Linked DNA regions of Alligator mississippiensis. Each later gene encodes a partner of the first gene's protein in a complex. Links are inferred from orthologs where the notes say so. Each region holds a gene or a part of one and is shown in the gene's direction. Other genes may lie near its edges.

The links. Proteins that work in one complex are often made in the same cells at the same time.
Region 2: deoxynucleotidyltransferase terminal-interacting protein 1 (region 1) and SAP30 share a complex: the UniProt entries of both Homo sapiens proteins name them as parts of the histone deacetylase complex. The link is inferred for Alligator mississippiensis from reciprocal best matches to the Homo sapiens genes DNTTIP1 and SAP30.

The regions. Positions count from the first base shown.
Region 1 is NC_081832.1:636,191-644,152, reverse strand, and holds the start of deoxynucleotidyltransferase terminal-interacting protein 1, read left to right. Parts: upstream 1-4,953; 5' UTR 4,954-5,004; coding exon 5,005-5,091; intron 5,092-7,289; coding exon 7,290-7,360; intron 7,361-7,962. Other genes in the region: CD83 antigen, read right to left, coding at 615-828, 1,288-1,430, 3,851-3,863. UniProt on the Homo sapiens protein: Increases DNTT terminal deoxynucleotidyltransferase activity (in vitro). Also acts as a transcriptional regulator, binding to the consensus sequence 5'-GNTGCATG-3' following an AT-tract.
Region 2 is NC_081825.1:80,264,069-80,271,472, reverse strand, and holds the start of SAP30 (histone deacetylase complex subunit SAP30), read left to right. Parts: upstream 1-4,404; 5' UTR 4,405-4,491; coding exon 4,492-4,899; intron 4,900-5,669; coding exon 5,670-5,792; intron 5,793-7,357; coding exon 7,358-7,404. UniProt on the Homo sapiens protein: Involved in the functional recruitment of the Sin3-histone deacetylase complex (HDAC) to a specific subset of N-CoR corepressor complexes. Capable of transcription repression by N-CoR.

The DNA.
Region 1 (7,962 bases):
TCATTTTGTTTCATTAACTCCATGACACTGGCACACACAACGCAGGCCAAGAGGTGGATCGCACAGACCCTGCCTCATCAAGTAGGACTTGCTTTTTTTTAAATGCAAAGAACAAGATCATCCCCTGGTAGCATGCAGAGGAGGAAACTTCTCCCCCCTGATAGTACACAGAGGAGGAAACCCTCCCCCCAGCACACAGAGGAAGAAACCTCTCCCCCTCACCATGTGCGGCTGAGCACATGGTGCTGCTCCTAGGGCATACAGCAGCAGGCATGGCGGGGATGACCAGAAGAGTTCAAAGGGGTCTTGGGGGTCCTTCCCCCTCCCTGAAGCATGAGAAAAGGAAGAAGGGGATGGTGACTCCAAGGGCCAGGTATCCACTGCCCCATGTGAAGGGCAGCCCCTGGGAAATACTGTGAAACAAGCAGCCGTTTTGTATCAGCGAGGCTGGCAGCTGTCCCAGATGCCGTTATTTTATTGCCCCTACGCCCTCTTTGTGCCACGGGAGGGGGAAGCTTGGGGCCCTGTGTCTGCTGCCTGCCTGCTTTCCAAGCTCTTCACATCACTGTGGTGCCTGGCCTCTGGTGCCTGTGGTTCTGGCCTAGCCGCCTCACCTGATACCCGCAGGATGACGTCTGCCTGCTGATTGAAATGTCCCACATTGGCCCAGAGGGAGCAGCGATAAGTGCCAGCGTCCTCTGGCCGGACCTTAGGAATGACCAGCGACTGCTGCTCGTCCATCAGGAACAGCCGCTGGATCTTGTCATACACCGTTGTCCTGTTCTTGAGGTTCCGAATCAGCCCCGTTTCCTGACTGTTGTTGATGACCTGCACGCAGCAACAGGATCCCGTTAGTGCATCGGGGCGCGTGGCACAGCCCGGCATACTGGGCCGCTGGTTAAATTAGGGCAGAACAGACCAACTCCCATTGCTGGGCATTAACATCTTCTCATGCATCTGCCTGTGGCATTGCCTTACGCTCACCCAGCCACGCAGCACATGTAAACCGGGCAGAGGGGCTCCCAGCACGCAGCAGCCAGCACTTCTCACAGAGCCAGCTGGGATAAGGCAGCAGGCAGTGCCGCGGGGGTCTCTGCACCCATGCACCCATAATCCCAACTGTCCATAGCCACTGAAACAAATAGAAGGAGCCCTGGATACCCCTCTCCCCCTCCAGCCAGTCCCCATGTGCACTGGCCCATGTAAACGAGCTGTGCTGCAGTTTAGAAAAGCGCTGGCTCTTCCGAGTGGTTGAGGACACGTGCTGCCTCTCTGGGAGGGCACTACCTTGTACCAGCCGCTGGCCCAGAAGTTCTGCATCCCTTTGACAGCAGGAGGGCAAGGGAGGACTGCTGCTGCCCCGCACTGGCTGTCCATGGACACTGCTGCCACTGCTGGTCTTTGCAGGAGGAGGCACAGGCAGCCAAGAGCTGGAAGTGGGAAGAGAGACTCAGTTAGGAGCGCAGCCTCGAATCCAGGAAAGGCTCCCCACCCACCCCCTCCAAGAGTGAGCTCTGCACACAGGCTGCAGTCCCCACCGGAGGATGCTGTGCACCGCGGAGAGGGGCAGGCGTCGTTGCAGGTTCTAGCACCTCCACCCTCTGTGGTGGTGCTGGCACTGCCGAGCTCCAAGCCTTGGGCTGAGGTTTCACAGAGCTGTGAGAAGGTTCCTGCTGCCACTCCGGGTTGTTTTGAATCATTTTCAAGAGACAGTTGACCTTTAAAGCCCCTTGGTGCAAGCTAAACAAGGCTCTGGAGCAGCCCACGACTGCTGCACTGTAAGGCAGAGCCACCCACCTGTGCTCTCCAATCTGGGTGGCACCGGCCAGCCTGAGGGCCTAAAACAAGGTGTTACGTAAAGTAGCCTATTGCTCAGGTCCGGCACACCTGCTCTTCCTCCTGGGGCAGAGGCAGTGACACCACCGCTGAAAATCAGGATGCTCCAATTTCAGTACTGGACGCCAGGCCCCCTGAGCCGGCACATTTCAGCCTCTTCCTTCTGCCTGTACTTGCAGGTGTCCAATCTTACTGAAAGCTCCCCAGCTTTCACTGGGACAGCTCACCCCGTGGAGCCCCCTTCCCTGCCACAGGGCCAAGGCTTGGGGGCCCTTGGCTCAGCTCTGTTTGGGACTTTTCACCGAGTCTTGAATGCAGCCGGGTGCAGCTGATGTGCTGTTACTCAGGCCCGGTCCAACCTGAAAGGTTCTGCTAGCAAAGCTGCAGCACTTCGCTGTGCTAATGAATCACATCTGTGATCAGCGCAGCTCTGCCAGCCAGAGCACTAGCACGGTACTCTTTCACTAGCCCCAAACTCCTTTGGCTGGTACGGAAACCGCTGGAACAGCCAGAGAACTCTTCCCCAAGCTAAGCTGGACCCAGAAGGGTGACTTGCCAACGTAGCAGCGCAGGCAGCCTCTTCCCAACGCACACCGGGTTTAGTACCCCAAAACGTTCAAGAGCAGCAGCAGCAACGAGAGCTGTCACGGCCACGCTGTCCTCCGGACGGGCTCGCTCTGTTGCGCTGAACCCGTTCGCGTCCAGAGAGGAGCTCACGACACTGTTAGCAGACACAGTGGGCAATGAGCAAAGGGACCTGCTGCTCTGGCCGTGCTGGCCAACACCATCCAAGTACCTCCCGGGTTCTGCTGCGGTCCAGATACCGCCTCGGTGACCACGGTCCCGGAGCACCTTGCGACCGGTAAGCTGCTCGCCCTCCCTGTAGCCTCTGGGAGGTGGGAAAGCACTTCTGTCTCCTGCTTCCAGAAGGAGACCAAGGCCCAGAAAAACAAAGTTTAGGGCCGGAAATTGTATCTCAGAGCATCTGGCACTGAGCACAATGACACAGAGAACTGGGTGCCAACCCAGCTTTTGCTGGTGCCTTCAGGGCCAGCTCTTTGTCAGAGATGGAAAACTGTGACTTTCACTCCAAACTGGAACCTGAAACCTCACAGCTCCGTACACGCAGTCTCTGTATTATACTCTGCAGACTCTGCCCGCAGTTGGTGACCTTCTGCAAATGGTTTTTACAAAAAAGGATTGCGACACGGAAATGATCAATTAAGAAGATCAAAGGAGAACCGTGGTTCTCCATTCTCTTTCCTGCAGGCCTTCAACTGTTTGAAAACTGCTAGCATGCCCCCTTCAATCTCCTTTCCTCCACACTAAACAGCCTAGCTCTCTCAACCCTTCCTCACCTGGCTGCGTTTCAGCCTCTCTATCGTCTTTCTTGCTTGCTTCTGGATCCTCTGCGCTTTCTGCACATCCTTCCTAAAGGGACTCCGTCAAACTGAGCTCCTCAAAGTACTGAGACAATTTTGACTTCTAATCCTGCCCTCCTAAGTTTCTGCCGCCTCTAAAAGCTTGGTGTCATCTGGCATCTTCAGAGGCGTGCTCTGTCTTCCACCATCCAGGTCGTTCAGGAAAATACCGAATAGCATCAGACTAAGAAGAAACTCTCGCGATACAAGGCTCTTTTGGGCTACGTCCTTCCAGTCTGACAGCGAACAGGTGCTAACTGCTCTTCGACTATGGCTTTTCAATGTTATGGGCACAGCCAACATACAAACAATACGTGAACCAACAGTCATAGAGGAAATGCTCTCATTTAATTTGTTTTTAGAAATAAATGTACCCCCTCCCAAGTTGCAGCCCCCCCAGACAAGTAATAGCACTCTCCCTGGATCTTAACATCAAGTGCGTTCAGGGAGCGGTGCACAGTAGCGGCACGAGACCAAGACCTTTGGCTTCCTGAGAGACAGCCTGTCCCGTGTTTCTCTTCCCCAGCACCCAGGTGCCAGTGACAAGACGAGGAGGAAGTTACCAAGTGAATAAATTCCTGATGAGGACTCACCCAAGGGCAACATCTGCGCGGTCTGGGCGCGTGCAGGGGCCAGAGCTCCTGAGCCTCGAGCTTCCTGCTCTGCTGAATGGAAAGCAGTGGGCTTGTTTATGCGGAAAATGAAAGCTGGCTGTTGAAGACTGCGATACCCAGTGTGAAGTACCGCTGCGGGTGAGGAAACGGGTCACAGAGTCCTCAGCTTGTGTGAGCAATGCATGAGATTGGCACGTGGCACCGAAGGGGCGTGCGGGCTCCCCTCGCGTCCCCGCAGCCAGCTGTCTCCCGTTCGCGCTCGAGCATCCTCTTGCCTGCTTGTTCCGCCAGGCGCGCCCTGTCGCCCAGGCGGCCGACGCTCTCCCCTTCCTCCAACTGCTCCACAAAGCCCCGGTCCGCCTGAACCCGCCCAAGCGAGGAGGCTTTGGAAGTAAACTGCGCTTTGGAAACAGACTTTCCGATGACTCGGAGCCGGGCCGCGCCGGGCTGCCGACACCGGGCTGTTGCACGCAAAGGACCGATCCTGACCCAACCCAAGTCGGTGGCGACGGTCCCGCCCACTTCAATGGATACGGGCTCAAAACCTCATCCGGTGCATCAGTCCTTCCTATCGCCCGGGGGACCCGCCGCCTCTTCTCGAAGATCACAACACGCCTCGCTGACGGCGCGCTACATCTCGCCGGCCCTTTCCTCCCGCGCCCGCAAGGCCGGCGACGCTGCAGCGGGGAGATTAGACTGGCTCTCGACACACGCAGGCCGGCAGGTTTGGTCGTCGCATTATCTCCCAGGTGCCCCCGAAGACGAGGCTCGCCCACCCGAGTCCCCACCCTGTCTAACACGGCGCGATAACACGTCTCCAGGCCGGAGAGCAGACGTCGGGGGTGAGGCGGCACCTCTGGTGTCCCTCCGCGCCCGGCGAGGCGCCGAAAGAACCCAGCCTGGTCCCTCCCCCCCCCTGCGCGGCCAAGAGGTCAGCAGGAGGGGGGCGGGGCAAGGCGCAGGTGTGGGCGGGGCCGAGGGGGCGGGGCCCGCTGCCCCGCCCCTTCCCAAGATGGCGGCCCCGACGGCCCGTTGCCATGGCGGCGCGCCGCTCTTCCGGCGCCGCTCGATGACGTTGCCCGCAGACTCGGGGAGCGCCGCTTCCGGGTGCGACGGCCCGCGCCGCAGGCGGGATGGGGGCGGCCCGAGACCCCGAGCAGCCGCCGGGCCCGCCCGGGGACGAGGGCCCGCACGAGGGCGACGGGCAGCTCGTCAGCACGGTGAGACCCCACCCCCCCGGGCTGCCCCGCCGTGCCCCCCGGTCCTGGGCCCCGGGCTGCTCCTCCCCCCTCCATAGCCCCCCCGGAGCTGCCCCCCTCCGTATCCTCCTCAGTCCTGTCCCCCCTCCACACACCCCCCACCGGGGCTGCCCCCCTCCCCCCCCGCAGCCTGGGTCCTGGGGTCCTGCGCAAGCCCCCACCCGCCAGCTGTCCCCCCCCTATACCTCCCCCCAGCCTGCCCCCATCCATGCCCCCCCAGTCCTGGGCCCCAGTCTATTCCTCCCCCTCCATAGCCCCCCCCGGGCTGCCCCTCTTCATAGACTCACAGAAGTCGGGTGGGGCGGGACCTTGTAGATCTTCAGGTCCGACCCCTGCCTGGGCAGGAGAGAAACTGGGCTCAAGTGACCCCAGGCAGGTAGGCATCGAGCCGCTTCTTAAAGACCCCCAGGTAGGAGCCAACACCACTTCCCGTGGAAGTCGGTTCCAGATCCTAGCCGCCCTGACTGAAGTAGTTCCTACAGATGTCTAATCTGAACCTACTCTCCCACGACTTGTGGCCGTTACTCCTTGTTATCCAGCGGGGTGCTGGGGGAAACAAGGTCTCCCCCAAACCCTTCTGGTCCCCCCAGTGAGTTTATAGACAGTCACCAGATCCCCCTCAGCCTTCTCTTGTGAAGGCTGAACAGGTTCAGGTCCCGTAGCCTCTCATTGTAGGGTCTGCCCTGCTGTCCCCGGATCATGCAGGTGACCTCCTCTGGCCCCTCTCCATGCTGTCCACATCCCTCCTGAAGTGGGGCGCCCAGAACTGGACGCAGTACTCCAGCTGCGGCCTGACCAGTGTCGTGCAGAGGGGGAGGATCACCTCCTTGGCCCTACTTGAGATGCACCTGTGGATGCACGATAGGGTCCGGTTAGCCCTGCCGACCGTGACCTCGCGTTGTCGGCCCATGTTCATCTTGGAGTCAGTGATGACTGCAAGATCCCTTTCTGCCTCCGTGCTCTTGAGAAGGGGGTTTCCCATCTTATAAGTGTGCTGCCGGTTACTACTGCCCAAGTGCAGCACCCTGCACTTGTCCGTATTGAAACACATCCTGTTTTTGTTAGCCCACCCCTGCAACCTGTCCAGGTCTTGCTGCAGTCTTTCCCTCCCTACCAGCGTGCCCACCTCACCCCAGATTTTGGTATCATCAGGTCACAAATTTGAACAGGTTGCTTTTCACCCCGTCGTCTAAATCGCTGATAAAGAAATTGAACAGCACGGGCCCAAGGACCGAGCCCTGGGGGACTCCACTGCCCACTTCCCCCCAGGTCGAATATGACCCGTCCACCACCACCCTCTGAGTACGACCCTTCAGCCAATTAGCAATCCATCTGACTGTGCAGGCATCGATGCCACAGTCACCTAGTTTTTAATGAGGATGGGGTGGGAGACAGTGTCAAAGGCCTTGCTGAAGTCCAGAAAGACTACATCCACGGCCACACCTGCGTCCAGTGCTTTTGTGACCTGATCGTAAAAGGCAATCGGGTTGGTCTGACATGACCTGCCCCTAACAAAACCGTGCTGGTTGCCCCTCAGCATCATCCATATCCTCCCCAGTCCTGTCCTCTCTCTATACCTCCCCCCGGGGCTGCCCCCTCCATGCCCCCCCGGTCCTGGGCCCCAGTCTTCCTCCACCCTCCACAGACCCCCCCCCCGGAGCTGCCCCCCCAGTCCTGTCCGTCCACCCCCCCGGGGGCTGCCCCCCCTCCATATCCTCCCCAGTCCTGTCACCCCTCTATACCTCCCCCGGGGCTGCCCCCCTCCACACACCCCCCTCCAGGGCTGTTGTCGTCCCCCCGTCCGTCTGTCGTCGTTTCCCCCCCCCCCCCCCCAACGGTCTGGGTCTCAGAGTCCCGCGTGAGCCCCCACCCACCAGCTGTCCTCCTTCTATACCTCCCCCAGAGGCTGCCCCCCTCCCCCCACACAGCCTGGGTCTCAGGGTCCTGCGCGAGCCCCCACCCACTGGCTGTCCCCCCCGTCACCCCGCCGCAGCCTGGGTCTTGGGGTCCCACGCGAGCCCCCACCCATCGGCTGTCCCCCCTCTATACCTCCCCCTGGGGCTGCCCCCCTCCACACACCCCCAGGGCTGTCGTCCCTTCCCCCGCGGCCTGGGTCTTGGGGTCCCACGTGAGCCCCCACCTGCCGGCTGTCCCCGCAGAGCCCCTGGAACATCATGATCAAGCACCGGCAGGTGCAGCGGCGCGGGCGGCGCTCGCAGATGACCACCAGGTAAGTGCGGCCCCCATTGAGCCCAGGCCATGCCCCTGCTGCAGAGGAAGGCCACCCCCCCCATCCCCCCCCGTGCAGACCAGGTTGGGCAGGGGGAATCCCGTCCTGCCCCCCTGGGTTTGGAGCGGGGGCAAGACCCTCCAGCCTGGCCCCTGCAGGGTTGGTGCTGGCAGGAGCTTTGGCACCGCCCTGCCCCACCTAAAGACAGGCTTGGCCCGTGGCTGGGTCGGCGCTGTCGGGCTGCTGGCTCACTCCGGCTGGAAGGGGAGAGTCCTGATGCTGTCCTCAGCCTCTAGTGCAGGGGTACACAACATTTTTGTGCCTCGTTTCCAAAATACCTGCAACCTCAACTCGAGAGATGTTGGCGGGCCAGGGCAGATGGCGTGGGAGCTGCGAGGGTACAATCCTTGTAGCGGCATGGACCTGGCCCCTTCCCCACCCTCCGCCCAGAGGCACGTGTGCCAAGCAAAATGCCTTTGCGCGCCACACTCTGGTTCCCGTACCGGGGGTTCCCTATCCCTGCTCCAGCCCCTCGGGCACTGCTGACAGGTTGAGAAGGGAGCTGTATCGATCCCTTCTCTTAGCAGGCCAGGGTTTCAGAG
Region 2 (7,404 bases), on another chromosome or scaffold:
GGTATTTCCTAGAACCACAAGTTAGATCCTGATGTCTGCAATAATTTTACCAGTCTTGTGTACCCATTAGCACAGTCCCTAGGGCCCCTACAAGATCAAGGCTTTAAAGCAATGCATGACCTAATAACGCTTGACTTCAAACGTTATTTTTTTTATACTGATTGTTTCTTTATATAGGTAAGTATATGAGCCTGTAATTCAATGTCTTTGTCAGAGGCTTACAGAAGGTTAATCTTAGCTGACCTTTTGGATTGTGATGGGTAGGGATCCTGCTTTTCTCTGATTTTAAAAAAAATCCCTAATTTTCGGATTTAAAAAGTCACTTATATATACATGTGTATATATATGTGTGTGTGTGTGGTGTTTCATTTTAATCACGAGAAAATGTGAATTTGGGAATACTTTTTTTAATCTGAAAATTGGGGATTTTTTTTAAATCAGAGAAAACCAGGATCCCTGGTGATAGGGCATAAGACAGTCATAAGGTACATCGGGCCCAGAATGATTAGAGCTTTATCCATCAAACTAGTACCATGAGTTGTACCCAGAAAGCTCTTGGGAACCAGTGTAGATTCTGGAGCCCTGGGGTTATATCTAGGGACCTACTTAAGTTGCAGTGAGAGGAAGGGTTTTTCACAACCTGTTTGCAGCATACAGAGCTGATTTTGTGGGCATTGTGTGGTGGCCCCGCCCCTTGGTGCTGATTGGCAGAGAGGCCCCGGGGTGGGGAGGAGGAACAAGAGGGCAGCCACCATCCTATCCTGCCACCATACCAGCTGGCACTTTCCCCTTCAGGCAGCAGGAACCAATGGCTCCCAGAGGGAGCCAGCATTTTATTTTTATTAAGATTTTTTTAATGTTGATTTTGTAGATTATCCCAGATTTCATTGTTTCTGCAAACTCCACAAAACCACAGATTAAGTAGGTCCCTAGTTATATCCCTTCTGTGCAACTGGCATCTATATCTTTATGCCTAATATAAATTCACTTACTAAGGGAACTGGGCACAGCATCATTTTGGTATGGCCATGCCATTTAGGCAGTCAGATCCAAGTGTAGAATTTACATATCTTTTAGGATACCTGTGTTCCTATACAAGGGATGAGAAGAGTTTAGATAACTGCAACTCACAACAGCTGGTATGCCAAGCAGGGAGGACACCTAAGGTAGCCATTAGGAAATGTGGAACAGGGGGACATCTCTGGAATCAATCTTCTCCTGCAAAGTGCCTTCATGCACTTATCAACTGATTTCTTCCTTTGGATGCAGGTAACTGGCTTACTTTTTCATCACTCTTACACAGCTGGCAATGATGACAATCCACCCTTTGTATTATACCTAGTGGTTTAAGCATGCACCCAGGAAGTGGTAGACCTAGTTATACTGCTTTACAGCCTGAGGAGTTTCAAATCTACTGGTATCTTTCTCACCTCCAGGAGAGTGCTCTAATCTTCTGCCCCTGCTGCTAAAGCAGGACTGTTGCATAAAAAGGAATGCAACATCATACGGCCATGAAAAGATAGCACATGACTCTGTCATCCAGTGTTGAATACACTATCTTGGAAGCCAAGAATGCAGGATTCATAGGGCCCAAGAGAGTAAGAAAGAAGGAATGTGACTCGGCACAGACAGATGAAATGTTTAACCAGGGTAAAGGGTTACCTGCCTATAAAAAGCAGCAGCCGCTAAACTGGGGGAATCCCTGAACTACTGAACAAATCAGAGCTAAAACTATCAGTGTAAAGACAGCCTGGGTTAACTTTTGCTGCTGCATCCATTCTAAGTTGGCTAAAGGTAAGGCTATCTCTTGCTCCTATGCTATCTAATAGCAATGTGTAGTAGTGATTGATTGCTGTGTTCTAATCATTTGTCTATGCAAAAGATAGGCGGCGCCACCATCAGCTATGGTTTTGAATGAAAGCGATTGTGACTTAGAAATGCAAAACTCTAGAACTCTTGGTTCAGAGGTGATACCTTTTATTAGACCAACTAAGAAATCATTAAAAAAATCTCTTTTTCTGCAAGCTTTCTGGCACACACGCCCTTCCTCAGGCTCAGGAAAAATAAAAGATGATAAAAAGTCCCCATAGGTAGAAAATAAACTTCATTTTTGCACAGAGGAAGCTGAAGGTGCAAGTCTGTTCCTCTGGGACCATGAAAGTGTCTTCTGCTTTGTGCTGAACTTAATGCTTTTGGTGTGATTTATGGGTAAGTGTACTCAGAGTAGGCCTCTTGAAATGAACCCTTGAGTCTCAAGTGGATTGAAATGTGTGATAGGCGTTGGTGATATTGGCTCAGCCTCTGTACATCCTTTGTATTGGTACATCTCTGGGCATGTGAAGTAACAAAACCGTAGGCACCTGCCTACCAAGCAAAAGCTTGAGACTGTGGACCATCACAGTCTCAAACAACAGTTAAGCAGGTGGATTGCACTTTTGGATTTACATGCCTCAGTTTTTGTTTGAATCTGACCCTCTGAATCACAACACAGATGCAAGTTTGATGTGGGATTGTACCCATACTCTGTAAGACTGGGTTATAAAATCAGGTTAAGAAGTAGAAATTGAAACCGTTGTAACCCCTGAGTGCGCAATGCACTGAGCCCGTATCTCCTTAAATTATTGGGTTTTGTCACACTCCCTATTTTGATTCTATAACTTCGAATAGGCCATAATTCATACATTGAAATGTTTTCAATTAAATTAAACCATTTTCTTTGGCCTATGGCCTTTCCCGCTGTCTTAACTTGAAAGGAATAGCTGACCAAAAGGGGCAGGGAGGTTGGAGTATTTTGTTTGTCAAATAAGTTATTTGACAAACAAAACACTCCAACGCCAGTGCAAATGTGCTTTGCAGGTGTCATAAGATCAATGCCCTTTTGTTGGAGGGGGGAGCTCTGCCTTGCAACTCTCCAAGAAGCAGCCTTATTTGGTCTCCCTGTCTTGAGAGGACCCCTAGAAGCCAGCCCCTAGCAGGGGAGAGCCTCTGACTTGGAGACCCTGGATCTTCTCAGTCTCCCGCTTCCTCAGTGATCAATAGCACCCACACCTCCAACAGCTCCTTCCTTTTCATCAGCTCCCATGAAGGGGGGGGGGGGTGGAAGTGGGAGTGCTCTTTTAAAGAGGAGGGGTAGCAGAATGATGTGTCCCAACAGCACAGCAATCTCTGCTCTGAAACAGCCAGTCTCTATTGTGCCACACCAGTTCCCCCTGTTCTTCCTTTGACTCTGTTCCATCCTCCCTGAGACTCTTCTTTTTCTCACTAATCTGTCTTCCCTGGGACTTTCTCCATCGAGCTTTATCAGAGCCTCACGCTTTCTCCTGAGGCCCAGTCAGCCACACTTCAATAGAAGTTACAGAACTGGTTACCTGGGCACACCACTCAGCCAGTACAATGAAAAATAAAGTCACGAGGAACCAATCAGGGAGCAGTCTCTGGGCCCTGCTGCCAGGTCTAGACTGCTATCTCCCCACTGGGGTGAAAAGGACATATAGGTGGGTTGCTTATGAGGTTATTTACAAGATTTCTTTATAACAAAGCCTTCTCACAATGACCCCCTCCCCCCCAGATATTCCCAGTATGAACTACAGGCTAGAACTCAGCCCACTTAGCCTTTTCCCTCACAGCAAGCACATGAAAAAAAATGGTCGGTCAGATTTACTCATCGTGTGTGTGTGTGTGTGGAAGTATGGCGGGGGGAACTGTCTGGGGCAGGAGCTCCCCGCAGCGGGGCGGTGGGAGCGAGCCCAGTTACTCCAACTGACGCTGTCCTCTGCCAGGGGAAACGCTGAAAAAAGACCCAGGGCGAAAGGCCGTCACGGAGCGCCAGGCTGCCAGCTTCTCGGGCAGACAGCAGCTCGCCAGTGCTCAGTCAGACTAGCCCAGCACTCCCGCCTTTTCCCCAGGCCCGGCCTACCGGCCCAGGTGAGGCCGCTGGGGCAGCGCTGCAGCGGGAGGAGGGAGGGAAGGGAAGGGAAGGGCCCGGGCGCTCTCTGGGGGGAACTGCCGCAGGTCCGCGGCCTCCGAACGGCCACATTTCAAATCCTAACGGCTGCTCCGAGCCTTTGTACGACAAACACCGCAACACAGAACTCCCCGCACATGCGCGTTGCGAACGGGACCAGAAGCCCGCGTCCCCTCTCCCTTCTGCAGCGAGCAGGGGGTGGGGGTGGGGAGGCAAGCGCAACCTCCAAAATAACCCCACCCCTCCCCGTCTTGTTCCTTGCCGCGCTCCGCAAAATGGCGGCGGAGCGCGCGTGGGGCACGCCGGGAGCGGTAGTTTCCCAGGCCTCCCCGCGGGCGGAGCGGGCGCCGCGGCGCCAACTACAGGTCCCGGTAGGCGGCGGGTTGCGCATGCGCGCTAGGGCGGGTGGGTTGCTGTTGTTACAGAGGAAACAGCTGAAAAGTCCGCACATGACAGAGGGGCGCGGGGCGTGCGCGACGCCGCGGGGCTGAACTGAGGGGCAGGACGCAGCCGCTGGCGGCGCGGTCATGAACGGCTTCGCGCCTGAGGACGCGGCTCCGCGCGGGGGGGACCCCGCAGCCGCCGCCGCCGCTGCTGCTGCTGCTGCCGCCGCCGCCGCCGCCGCCGGGGCCAGCGCGGGCTCCGCTGTGGAGGTGCCGCCGCCACCGCCTCCAGTGCCGCCGCCGCCGCCGCCTCTCGGGGCCGCAGCCGGGGCCGGGGCCGTCGCGGGCGCTAACGCCGCCGCGGTTGCCGCTGCTGCTGCCGCCGCCGCCGCTGCGGGCCCGGCGGGCGCGGCGGGGCCCGGAGCCGGGCAGCTGTGCTGCCTGCGCGAGGAGGGCGAGCGCTGCGGCCGGGCCGCCGGCAACGCCAGCTTCAGCAAGCGCATCCAGAAGAGCATCTCGCAGAAGAAGGTGAAGATCGAGCTGGACAAGAGCGTGAGTGCCCGCGGGCCCGGGGTCGGGGGGGGAGGCGGCGGCGGGGGGGCTGCGGCGCAGGCACCGCCACTGCCCCCGGCCCGGGCGCCGCGTCCTTGCCCTTGGCGCGCCCGCCTGCCGCAGGGGAGCTGCTTGCCCTGTCCCCGCGGGGGCCGCCCGGCCGCCATGGGGTAGAGCCGCGCCGGCCCCAGACAAAGCCCCGCGGTGGGGAGCGCGGGGAGCCCCCTCCCGAGCGGCACAAAGGGGGCTGTTGCTGTGACTGCTGCTGCTGCGGGGGGTGCCGGGAGGTTTCAGCTGCGGAAACTTCGCGTTGGAAGAGCCCGGGGGGGAGGAGGGGGGAGGCTGCGGTCCCGGAGTCGCTGAAAGTGAAACTGCAGCCGATCCGCGCCGCTGCGGGCCTGAGCGCGGCTTGTTAAACCCCCCGGGCCCGGCGGAGAGTGCCTGCTTCGCCGGCAGGGGCTCGGGGAGGGCGGCGAGGACCAGGGGGAGACATCGGCGGCTTTTAAAAAGATGACGACGGAGAAGTCATTTTCCTGCTGATGGCGGGAGGGGGCTGGGCTCGGCTGCTCCCTGGAGTCGGCTCGTTGCTGCAGCGCGGAGGGGGAAAGGAGGGGGGGGGGGGGGTCTGGCCGGGACCAGCAGATCTCCTCCGCCCCGAGTTCAGGCCACGAGACATGGCGATGGCTCTGCCGCTGCTGTGTGTGACCGCACGTGTCCAAACCCTGGCAAAATAATCGTGGAAAACATGGCTTTTTCTCATTTTATTTTAGGCAAGGCATCTTTATATTTGTGACTTTCACAAAAACTTAATTCAGAGCGTGAGAAACAGAAGAAAGAGAAAAGGCAGTGATGATGATGGTGACTCGCCAGTGCAAGACATTGACACTCCAGAGGTACCTGCCTAGTTATTTATGTGGTTGCCATGTAAAACTGATTCTTAATTGTCATGCTTTAGTCACAAAAATATAACATTTCTTATGGCTATGCTTCTGTATTCATTGTGTATGTTAGAATGATATATTCTAAGATGCTTACATAAGGAATATTTGTTTTCTCCATTTTATTCATCATACTTCTCCTGGAAATAAAGCCTAACCTAAATCGTAAATCAGTTTTGATTCTGAAATATTTTACCTTTCTCCCCAGATCCCTAGTATTGGAGTTACGTGCTTAGCCACATAGTAGCAGAACCATTTTTCAGCAGGAGTCAGGCAGTTACTGAACCATGAGCCCAGCATTTATACTTTCGGTGTATAAAATGTTTTATCACCTTTTAACTGTCCCTTGGCTTTTCCCCCGTCCTGCCAGGATGGCTACAGAACAGTCAGAAGTTGCTCCATTCTGTTAAAAAAACACTTAGAATAGATATGTGTCATACATAAAAGCATAGTAGAGTTAAATCTTAAATGTAAAAGTATGTACTGTAGTGCCACTATTACATTCCAGTTTTTGGGGAAGTGGTTGCTTTGATCTGGCACATCCCATATACAAAAGTGGTGTTTAAAACGTATATGCACCTTTTTGTTTCCCATTTCAGATGGTATGAAATACCCTTTTTTTTTTTTTTTATATGCCCTGGATAAGTGCACTAAGCTGGAGGGTAGGTTGCCTGTTCGAGGTATCAAAGATCTCAAATAGCATTTTTAAGATTTGGCTGCAGAACTTGTTCCTTCAAGTTCCCCGGTAATGCATTTGTCCATAAGGCCTTTTCACTGCCAGCACTCTGCTAAAGAATTCTGGGTTGACAGGAAGGAAAACACTTTTTTTTTTTAAGCCTCTGGTGAAGATGTCTGAGGTCCTGGAATATTCTGAGTCCTGTAAGGTCTTATCTCAGTTCCTAGAGACTGTTTTTTGTAGTCTTCCCCACAATTATCTTTGCAGTTACCCTCTTGAATCCCAGGGCTGCAATTTTGGCACCGTGCGGACCACAGTTCCTGAACAAGCCAGTTCTCTTTTTCAAGTTTTATGGGATCAGCAGTTCTTGCCACAGCTGATATCTGCTGCCGACTCTTGTGAAGGACAAAAAAAATAATAGTGACAAATGTACTGCTTAACGCATCCGCTCCTGCAAAGGAGGCTTAGTTCAGACCCACATTCTAAAAGCTACAGTTGTCAGTTTAGACGGTGCCAGAAAACCCAAAGGTGTTTTTATTCCTCTCTCCTTGCCACCCCCCACCCCCAATCTGGGCACTGCACCAGAGAGACTCATGACTTCACTGATGGAAAAGAAATGAGTGCCCAATGCAATCTCTACCGTTTCCAGGAAGAAAAAGTTCTGTGCCAGTGATCTACTAATTTCACCTCCAAGTCTGTTTCAGAGGGCAGTTCAGAATGTTATTTTGGGCGGAATACTAAAGGCTGCTTGGAACAGAAGGACAGTACATACTGCATGTCTTCTGCCTTCATTTCAGTTGCCATATTTAATGATGATTTAATGCCATTGTTTCTTTTTTCCTAGGTTGACTTATATCAGTTGCAAGTAAACACGCTTCGAAGGTACAAAAG